3 linked regions of the Mus musculus genome follow. The protein of the gene in region 1 interacts with the protein of each later gene in a pairwise test. Links are inferred from orthologs where the notes say so. Each region holds a gene or a part of one and is shown in the gene's direction. Other genes may lie near its edges.

Region 1 (3,655 bases):
TTTGCTAATATATAGTATATATCATAATTTGATAACATTAATATGTATGTTGAACCATCCTTGTATCATTGTAATGTTACGTGTTTGGTCATAGTGGATGATCTGTTCTTTCCCTCTAAGGCAATATTTGTCTTTACCTGTAAGGTATGTTTCTTGCAAGTAACAAATAGATTGATCCTTTGTTTGTTTGTTTTGTTAAGATTTATTTATTTATTTTATATATGTGAGTACACTGTTACTCTCTTCAGACATACCAGATGAGGGCATCCAACTCCATTACAGATGTGGAATAACACTGACTGCTCTTCTAGCACATCTGGAAGAGCAGTCAGTGTTATTAACCACTGAGCCATCTCTCCAGCCCCTGATTCTTCTGTCACTACCTCCTCAGCACTGGAATTTCAGATGTCTGCTGCCATGCCTAGAATTCTCTAGTGAGCTGGCCTATATGCTTACATGCCAAGCATTGTTCACATACCGTGTCATCTTAGTAGCTCTTAGATTGGGCCTTTTAACAATGTCCTGTGGATCTTGTCATTTCCCTTCATATTTTCTTATTACCTTTGTCATTGTCTTCATGTTCTAATTCATATACCTTGTCTTTAGGCCCTGAAACTCTGCTTTCTATTTGGAGAGGCTTTCCATTGAGCTTTTAGTTGACTCAATGAGATTTTTATTTACAAAATTTCCATTTGATTTTTTTCAGTATTTCTGTCTCTATTGAATGCCTCATTCATAGCCTGTATTGACTTCTTACTTCATGCAGATGCTTGTTGGCTTCCTTGTTGAATTCCTTCAAAAGTCTGTTTATGTTGTTTGATTTCATTGAACGTTCTTACTCATTCATTCATTCATTCATTCATTCATTCATTCAGTGTGCATGTCATGTCTATCACCTCCACTTGAATGGGGCTGGGTTTCAGTTTATTCTTATTAAATGCTATTCCTGAGTCAGTGCTGGCACATGTCATATAGACAGACAGACTGTGAGTGAAGGGACTATCAGAAAGCTGACTTCTCACTTAGCTAAGGAGCTCTGGAGCTCGAGATCCCTGGCGGACAAAGATGGGGAGGCTGAGGATCTTTCCCTTTGAGTTGCTTTATTTTCAGAAAAGTTGGGCCCATTTTCATGACGTAGAGTTTGAAATTGCTGTTGATTACCTATTATTTTTGAATTATTTGACTCTGGATTATAAGTACCTGATAAAATGTGATGCATATTTTCCATATTATTCAAGCTTTTGCAATTCTACGAAATAAAAAATTTTGACTATCAAAGATACTATTATTGGCAGGATAGGAAGTGAGAATCAGGCTGCTGAGTTACTGGTTTAGAAATCTGTTCCAATCTATTCAGTTTCTGGGTCTGAATGTTAGAAATTTAGATGGCAAAGGGAATATTATTATTTTAGCGTCACTTTTCTAAAAATACAAAATGGTAACAGCCCATAGGTGGCAGCAGATCTGCAATAATGCTCTTGAGCCCACTGTCATGGCCGTTTCTTCCTCTTCACCACTAAGTGTTACATTTAGAAAGACAGACATGTAGAGGCACAGTGTGAGCAGGATCCAGTCCTCCTTTGCAGCGTGAGTAATGGGGCTCCTGCTGAGAGAAGGGCGCCCAGGGAGCAGGGCGCTGTGCAAGCCTCACAGCCTGGGAGCACTTAGATGTTAAGTACTTCACTTGCCTCCCCAGGAATTCCGACAGAAGTCTCTGGACTGGGAGAAGCAGCGTCTGATTTATCAGCAACAGGTATCTTCTCTGGAAGCACAGAGGAAGGCTCTGGCTGAACAGTCGGAGATAATCCAGGTAGGCTTAAGCTGTCCGATGCATGGCTATTGACCGAATCGGACTTACTGCCATGCTCTTTCTGTCTTACTTGGATTCTCTCTGTAGTCTTTGTGTGGTAAGCCTGCCTTCCTCTACTTGTGGCTTAGCCTCTTCAGCATCTAAAACACTCTAAAACACTTCAGTTTTTTCTTTCTTTTTTCTCTCTTTCTTTCTCTCTTTTCTTTCTCTCTCTCTCTCTCTCTTTCTTTCTTTCTTTCCTTTTGGTTTTTCGAGACAGGGTTTCTCTGTGTAGCCCTGACTGTCCTGGAACTCACTTTGTAGACCAGGCTGGCCTCCAACTCAGAAATCCGCCTGCCTCTGCCTCCCAAGTGCTGGGATTAAAGGCGTGCACCACCACTGCCCGGTGAGTTTTTGTTTATTCAATCCTCATTTTATTCATGTTTATTGACTATTATCTTTAAGTCACTGCTATCAATTTACTATTGTGGTTAATTCCATATAATGCAAACTTCACTGTTAGTAAAAGTGGAGTTGTTATTTACCAGGCAGTCAACTAGAGATAGAATAAGATACCTTGAAAGAACTGACATCTGTTGTGCCCACTAAGGGTATTTGAATAATCCTTCTCATAGTTTTATTTAACATAAAGTTATCTGATTAGTTAAAAGTATTAGGTATAAATGTCTTTCTCTTTTTCCTTGGCAAACTAACCAAGAATGAAAGCTTCCTTTAACTCAGTTTGTGTCCATCAATGCTGTGTTGTTATCTTTACTAAACACTTATTAAATCTCTGTGTGCCCATTACTTAGTGTTAATGATTGTCATCATCTTGCCAATCTTGTATGTAAATGAGCATTAGAAATTCATAACAGAAATTATACCTCATCTTCTTTTCGTGTGGTATTGAACCCATGGCTTCACTTATTCTTGGCGAATACTGTACCAGTGAGCTAAATCTTGTGCCACCCTGACTGGCTTTCTGAGCGCAGTAGTGTTGACAACATGTGCACATTGTTTTGTGCAGCTGTTCTTTGAGACTTCTTCCTTTTTTGTTTTAAAGAGGGACATGGCATTAAAAAAATAAAAGATTGATTTTCTTTGTATTGGTATTTTTCCTTGATGTATATATGTGACCACTGTTACACAGTGCCACAGTGCCCGAACAGGGCATTGATTCTGGACTGGAGGCATAGATCAGTGTGAGGTACAGGGTGAATGCTGGGAATTGAACTCTGGAAGAGTAGCCTATGGCGTTCTTATCCAGCCCACTTCTTTCATCTTGGAAAGCTAAAACTGGGTACACTTTTACTCTTTATTTTTTGCTATTAAAATGTTACAAAGCAAATCATGGCATCAACTCATTTTTGAACAGGCAAGGACTTAAAATCCCTATAATATGATAGGGTAACATCAATAGGATAAATAATAGTAATATAACTTAGTATTCAGTCTGCAGTTTTATCCAGTTGTCTAAAAACTACTCTTTCACAGTGGCTGTTTGAGGCAGAATCCAGTTAAGCTTGACTAATTGCATTTAATTGATATGTGGGACAGCAGAAAATCCGAGAGTCTGGGTAAATGTTATGAGAAAAAACTGAAAAAAACTCTTTCATATTTTTAACATTGAAGAAGATTCAAAAACAGCTTCACGCACTTTGAGTCATGTATTTGGATTCATCTATGCAGCTATTAGAGTTTTATACTCCATGCTTGTTTTAGGGAAAAAAAAAAAAACAAAAAAACCCGAGAACATCCTTTGTCTGGCTTTTCTTTTTCTTTTTTCTTTTCTTAATGTAGTTTTGGAGCTTCAAGGAAACCATTGTCACAAATAGATTGCTTAAGAACAGTGGGGTTGGAGGCAGC
Region 2 (3,655 bases), on another chromosome or scaffold:
TGACATACTTCCCCAAGCAAGGTTGTACTTGCTAAACCTTCTAAACGGTGCTACCAACTAGGAACCAACTGTTCAAATACATAAGCCTATAGAGGGTGTTTCTCATTCAGATCTCCAGAGTATCACTAGATTCTTATTGTATCAAATATTTTAATTGTTAGATCACCAAATAAAGTTTTTTACAAACTCTTTGTTGATGAGTATTTGTAGTTTATTTGGATAAGCCACATATCATCGGTTCTATTACAGGTACCTTCCATTTTAGTATCTGCAATCGGAATGTCTTACACTTGAGGTCTCATGTAACCTGCAGCAGTTTCCTTTCTTAGATTAAGTGTAGTTACAGTTTTCTCTACAGATCTGGATAAAGACAAGTACTCATGGAAAATACTGGTTTTAGTTATCTCATTAACTTTTTTTGTGTGGTACCAGGAATTAAACTCAGTGTTTAGAATGCTGGGCAAGTGTATCACATTTAAGTCTCACACCGAGGGCTTAAGTTTTAAGTTTTATGTGTATGTGTCCTATGTAACTCTACACACACACACACACACACACACACACACACACACACACACACACACACACACACACGTATGTATGTATGTGTTTGTGTTTATCATGACAAATTATAGGGGTCAGAGGACAGCATGTGGGGAGTTAGTTCTCTGCCTACCACATGGGTCCCAGGGATTGAGTTCTGGTTGTCAAGCATGGTCTTTACCTGCTGAGCCATCTCTCGGGCCTTCAAGTTTTAAATAAATGCTTAAAGTCTAGTTTAAAAATTAGAATACATCTGGTTTTAACTTTTCTTTCTTTCTTCCTTTCTTTTTCTCTTTTTCCTTCTTTCTCTCTCTCTCTCTCTCTCTCCCTCTCTCTCTCGCCCTCTCTCTCTCTCTCTCTCTCTCTCTCTCAGGTGGAAGACGAAACTGTTTTACATAACATTCCTTATATGGGGGATGAAGTTCTGGATCAGGATGGCACTTTCATTGAAGAACTAATAAAAAATTATGATGGAAAAGTGCATGGTGACAGAGGTGAGCTATGTGTATATTCTCTTTAGTTGAGGGTCTGAGGGTTTTCTTGTTGCCATGACAGTGGCAGCTCTTAAAAAGGAAAGCATTTGATTGGGGCTTGCTAACTGTTGAGATGTTTATTTAGTCCAGCCGGGCGGTGTTGGCGCACGCCTTTAATCCCAGCACTCAGGAGGCAGAGGCAGGCGGATTTCTGAATTCAAGGCCAGCCTGGTCTACAAAGTGAGTTCCAGGACAGCCAGGGCTATACAGAGAAACCCTGTCTTGAAAAAACAAAAACAAAACAAAACAAAAAAAACCAAAAAAACCCCCCCCAAAAAAGTTTAGTCCATTATCATCGTGGCAGTAAGCGTGGTGGCCCGCAGGCAAGTATGGTGCTGGAGAAGGAGCCTAGAGTTCTATATCTGGATGGCAGACAGCAGGAAGAGAGAGTTACACTTAATCAATAAAAATTTTCTGGGGTGTCGCTGTGCCCCCCTTTAATCCTTAATATCTATTGGAGGTTTCTGCCTCATTTTTGTTCATGTAATTCCCAAGTAATTGACACAGAAACAGTTCATATTTATTTACAGGCTGTAATCCTATATTTGGCAGATTCTGAGCTCTTCTATATACAAACGACAGGCCCCGTGTACTTTAGTTTGCATTTTACTCAACTTGCTCTGTACCATGTGTGTCCTCAGGACCAGCTTCTCTCTCATCTTTTCCTTCTTCCTCCGGGTCTCTCTAGAAATCTTTCTTGGTTATAAGTCCTACCTTTTCTATGCCCAGTCATAAACCCAGCCATTTATTGATCAATCAGTTATTATTGGGGAGTATTCTTTGCAGTACCTGTGTTACTGCAATGCCCCAAGATCAGGTTGTAGTCTGGACCAGGGCATAGAACTCAGGTTCTGAATCCACAGGTCACAAGGCTAACCCCAACAGCCACTGGGTCTGGCTTAAGCACCTAAGACCTCAAAGCCTGCCTCCACTGACACACTTCCTTTAGCAAGGCTACACCTACCCCAACGCTACCACACTTCCTAATCATGCCACTCCCTGTGGGCCCATAACATCATTTTCATTCAGACTGTCATAGAAGGGTTTCTTAATAGAGTTCATAAAAAATCTTAAGAGCTAGTCTGGGCTTAAAGGCATACATTTTTAGTATTTCTTTAGTTTTTCCATTTGAGGATCTTATTTGCCACTTGGTAATCATCAGTAACTGGTTATAAACTACAGCAGAAACAACACATAGATTTTATAGGAATAGAGTGTGTGTTTTTTGGTAAGCTTTCAATAGTAAAACTAAGTTTAAAGATCTGTTTATGGGGCATGTGCTTCAGAAAGGCTTTCTACTCAACAATGCCTTCCTCAGGGCAGCCAGAGCCCGTGAAATTAAGTTAACAGAATCCTGGATTCAGGTTTCTGAACAGGAGGCTCTCTTGATATCTGAGCAAACGGAGATGTGGTCATATCATAATGCAAAACAGGTTTGAAGTGGTCAGTCAGTGACACAGATTGGGAGGAAGCTAAAACTACAGGTCCTTATGGATTAAGGGAGTAATATACCCTGGATCAGCTGGAGAGGGTTGATTCCTGAGAAAGCAACAGATGTTGAAGGTAAATGCTGTTTTCTTTGCTGGCTGTGAAATTGATCTTGACTATCCTTACCTGCCCCTTAGGTTACAGTGCTGATAGGCCTTCACTATTCTTCCAGATTAGAAAACATATACATAATCTTGTCATTATCTTTTTCCCTCTGTTTCTGACATTTGGCTTTTAGAATGTGGATTTATAAATGATGAAATTTTTGTGGAGTTGGTAAATGCTCTTGGTCAATATAATGATGATGATGATGACGATGATGGAGATGATCCAGATGAAAGAGAAGAAAAACAGAAAGATCTAGAGGATAATCGAGATGGTATGTTTAATACTAGTTTTTTGTTTCAGCTTTATATAATTCTTTTAAAAAAAACCTATCAGGCTGGTAAGATGACTCGGTGGGTAAAGGTGCTTACCACCAAGCTTGATAAATCGAGTTTGATCCCTGGAGCCCACTCTATAGAAGAAAAGAACTGACTCTGCTGAGTTGCCCCTGATCTTCACATCAGTACACGGTGGCATACATACACCATCTAATTAATACATGTAAATAATGTAAAAGCCACCCATGTATGGGTATAATTAAACTACCCCCTTTTTGTTAAGTGTATGATCAAATATATTTTCTGCAGCATTTCATTCTCCACTAGAGCTTCTTTGTTTCCTTTGCCTAGGAAAAGGACATAATCCTTTTTTGCACTTTGCTGATCAATTATCATAATTATCTTTATAATAATATCATGTATCTTATATAAGTTGTATACTAATATACTTATATACCAGCTTATCCTTCCACAGCTTTACAATGTATATATTATTATCAGCTCCATTATATATTGGAAATGGGTTTAGGGAGGTTAAAGGCTAAGAAACTTAAGATAGCTATATTGGGAAAAAGTAGAATCTGAGCCCCAAGTTGATGACCTAGGTCTGACCTGAGAGCTGTGCTATTGTCTCTACACTTGTTAGTTGTTGCTAGAAAGCAGTCTACCCCAAATAGTAGAGAGTCCATAATGCTGTCTTGTATTTAG
Region 3 (3,655 bases), on another chromosome or scaffold:
TGGATCAAAAGTCATTATAGACCCCTTAGTCCAGTAACTGTGTCTGTTCCATTACCTCTGACCCCCACTCGTCTTCATCCTTTATCCAGATCATTTTAGTAGCCTCTTAATCTATTATAAGCAAAATGATCTTAAAAATAAGGTTAGGTCATGTCACTACCCTATTGAAAACCCCATAGTGTGATGTTTTTCAATCTGTGGGTTGTGACCAATTTGGAGAATTGAACCCTTTCGCATGGATCCTGTGAAAGATATCCTGCATATCATATATTTACATTTCAGTTCATAGCAGTAACAAAATGACATTTATGAAGTAGCAATGAAAATAGTTTTATGCCTGGGGGTCACCACAACATGAGGAACTGTGTTAAAGGGGAGCAACATTGGGAGTGGATTTCTTTCATTTAGAGCCAAGGCTTACTGCTACTTCTTGAACCTTCTGTGCTACTTTAACCCCTGTTCTAGCCCACTGGCTGTTTCCTTTCCCTTCAGGTAGTCAATCCTGTGGCTTATCACCTTCAAGTGTTTTCTTTCCAGGCATTATAGCCATTGTTTAAAGCTACACCCACTCCCATCCCAGCAGCACTTGCCTTGCCGACAATGCTTTTTGTGTGTGTCCTTCACTAATGTAATGTCACAGGGAACGTAGCTCTGCTTTTATCCAAGAATGTGACCTAAAGCCCGTTAATAGTGTTCAACACAGAGCGGACCTTTAGTAAAACGTCCCAAGTCCATAGTAAATAGGTACATCCTTCATCTTCACGGAGACTGCATGGAAGTGCTAGTGACCAAGTGCTGTCCCTTTATGACCGTGACTCTCAAAATTCAGTCCTCCGTCTGCTTGGATTAACTGCAAGTGGAAATGCCTGACCTTCTGATTTTGGACCTTCCAAATCAGAACCTAAGGGTTGCTCCGGTGGTTGCTGTGAAATACCATTACTCATAACTCACCCAAAGCTTGCTCAGATAGTCTGAGAAGGAGCATGCAGGCTGCCATGAGTATTTTTTAAAATTTTACTACATTTTAAAATCATACAGTTTACTGTTACCCAGTGACATAAATTCTTTTAATGGTCTCTCATGTTTTTCACACTATTTAGAAGTAACCTTTATTGATTGATCTATTTATTTTGACCAAGCTGACTTAGGACTTGCTAACATTTGTATTACTTTGAAGTTTAAAATTTCAATCTTCATAAACATATTTACTAAATTTTTTTGTAACTCTGAGTAATGTCATAATGCAGACAATGTAGTTAGGTCAAACCACACCCACTTTACCCTCTATCTCCTTCCAGGCTCTACCCCAGCCCCCATCAAGATCTCCAACCAAAAGCACATCTTGGTTTTGTTATAGCTCTGAGTCCCATCAGTGCTTCCTGTGTGCTCAGTGTGCATGCGTGCAGGGCCGTCTGCTGGAGCCTTGATAAATTATGTGGGCCACATCCTTAAAGAAGCTGTTTCTCCCTCCCAGGCAGCCATCAGTTACCAAAAGCTCCTGCACTAGGGATGGGGCATCATGAGGGAGGCCTCCCCTCTCCTGTGCACACTAGGATGCTGGCTGCTTGTGCAGGCGACTTCAGCCTCTGTGGCTTCCTGAGCGCAGCAGCTCCATCGGGGCCAGAAGACACTGTTTTGCAGCAGCCCTGCTTAGCCTCGGGCTCATGAAGTCTTTTGGTCTCTCTTGCTGATGCCCTCTAAGCTACGAAAGAAGTGGGTGTACATAGATGCCCACAGGGGGTTGAGCACTCTGTCCTTACTCAGCTTCTAGATGTCATCTTTCCTGTGAAATAAGAGGAACCTCAGAGGAGACAGGAGATCTGTGGAGGGTGTGTGTGGCATGTGGTGGAGCAGTCACTTAAAGTGGATCAGGAAGGCACCAGTGGTTTTGTGCTATATGTAAGTAAGTTACCAACTCTGATAGTGAAGAGTGAACTGCTTCACTACTAGTGAAATTGTCAGCACAGCTAGACTGGGGACAAGTTCCCTTAATGAGCACCTGGGGAATGTCTTGATGCCACATCCGGTTTGCCTGTGGAACCGTGTCAGCATGTGTCTAAAACTGATACAGGAGCATACTCAGTCACTCAACACCTACCTGTGCATCTCCTCTGGCTTAGACATGGGAATATAGTCATGACCAAAGATAGTGCTTTCTGAAACTTATGTTGCAGTTAGTAGAGACAGACAGTAATCAAATAAATGTAGGAATATGATTTGATAAATTATGATACTTCCATACACTAGAATGATTCTCTTGGTCTCATATAAAGTAGAATGAAAAGGATGCAGAAATATTGCAACACACTTAACAGTTCTGATTTTGCTACCCCTCCTCCCACACAAGTCTGACTTAAGAGTTTTTAATGTGTGATTCATCATTAACAGCAGATCATCTTATGAAAGTATGGCACAGTAAGTCTTAACCAGCTTCTGGTGGGATTTTCTATGATTTCTTTTAAAATTGTATTAGCCTTCCTTTTACTCTCTTTATCCAACATCAAATGTGTTAGGTGACGTGAGGCCTAAAGTGGCAGCTGCTCTTGACTTAGAGTTTGTGTTGTCTTTTTCTGTATCTGTGTGATGATTTTCCACGGCACTCGTGAGACTGGTTTCTGTTCCCTGGGTAAGAGATGTTTGTGAACCCAAGTGTTTCTCTTTCCTCTTAGGGGTTAGAACTGCAGGAAACATCCTGCCACACTGCTGAAGCCCAGAGAGTTGATGAAGTGTTTGAAAGTGCTTTTCAGCGAGAACACCCACAAGTGTGCTCCCTTAATGAGCACCTGGAGAATGTCTTGACGCCATGTACAGTTTTGCCTGTGAAACTGTATTCTGATGCCAGGAATGTGCTGACTGGCATAATTGATTCTCCTGACAACCTGAAGGAATTTAAAGATGATCTTATTAAGGTACTTGTGTGGGTGCTTATTCAGCACTGCTCTAAAAGGCCCAGCACGCAGGAGAATAAAACTGAAAATACGGGAGAAGCCTCACCAGCACTGCCACCGGCTGCGAACAGCTCACCATGCCCCGAGTCCCTGGAAGACTCTGAAAGTGCAAATTCAGACTGGTCTGATGGTAGTATTTTTGATGATGAACCAGCTATCAAAAACAGAAAAGAAAAACTTCAGTCCAAAGATCTACCTTGTACAAAGTTACCTATTCCAGGGTCCGTAGATTCTCAGAATCCAGATGACCATTCTGCAGGCACAGGTCCCAAAAATGATCTTTACAGGACGGTTATATTGGGACTCCCTGCTGTTGACAAGGGACAGCGAGAAGATGTGGCATATATTCCTCTCGTGGAGTTTAGTTGTTCCCAGTCTCGCTTGCTAAGTTTACCTGAGGAATGGAGGTCTAACTCCACACCCCGTTCCAAGATCCTAGAGATGAGCGCCTTGTTTCCAGAAGACTGGTACCAATTTGTTTTAAGGCAATTAGAATGCTTTCACTCGGAAGAGAAGTCACGTGTTCTAGAGGAAATTGCAAAGGATAAAGCTTTAAAAGACTTGTATGTCCATACAGTGATGGCTTGTTATATTGGTTTATTTGGAATAGACAATGGAGTGCCTAGCCCTGGTCAGCTAGTAAGAGTCTACAATGGTGGCTTACCCTGGGCTGGCACCTTGGATTGGCTCTCAGAAAAACCAGAGCT

What was found. The genes of interacting proteins can lie anywhere in the genome.
Region 2: the proteins of Cep63 (region 1) and Ezh2 interact in binary tests that used the Homo sapiens proteins (3 or more experiments, as listed by UniProt). The two-hybrid records come from large-scale screens. The link is inferred for Mus musculus from reciprocal best matches to the Homo sapiens genes CEP63 and EZH2.
Region 3: the proteins of Cep63 (region 1) and Pcnx4 interact in a two-hybrid assay, tested with the Homo sapiens proteins (2 studies listed by BioGRID and IntAct). The link is inferred for Mus musculus from reciprocal best matches to the Homo sapiens genes CEP63 and PCNX4.

What each region holds. Positions count from the first base shown.
Region 1 is NC_000075.6:102,605,481-102,609,135, reverse strand, and holds part of Cep63 (centrosomal protein of 63 kDa), read left to right. Parts: intron 1-1,696; coding exon 1,697-1,810; intron 1,811-3,655. UniProt on the Homo sapiens protein: Required for normal spindle assembly.
Region 2 is NC_000072.6:47,553,412-47,557,066, reverse strand, and holds part of Ezh2 (histone-lysine N-methyltransferase EZH2), read left to right. Parts: intron 1-916; coding exon 917-1,037; intron 1,038-2,802; coding exon 2,803-2,943; intron 2,944-3,655. UniProt on the Homo sapiens protein: Polycomb group (PcG) protein. Catalytic subunit of the PRC2/EED-EZH2 complex, which methylates 'Lys-9' (H3K9me) and 'Lys-27' (H3K27me) of histone H3, leading to transcriptional repression of the affected target gene.
Region 3 is NC_000078.6:72,570,821-72,574,475, forward strand, and holds part of Pcnx4 (pecanex-like protein 4), read left to right. Parts: intron 1-2,669; coding exon 2,670-3,655.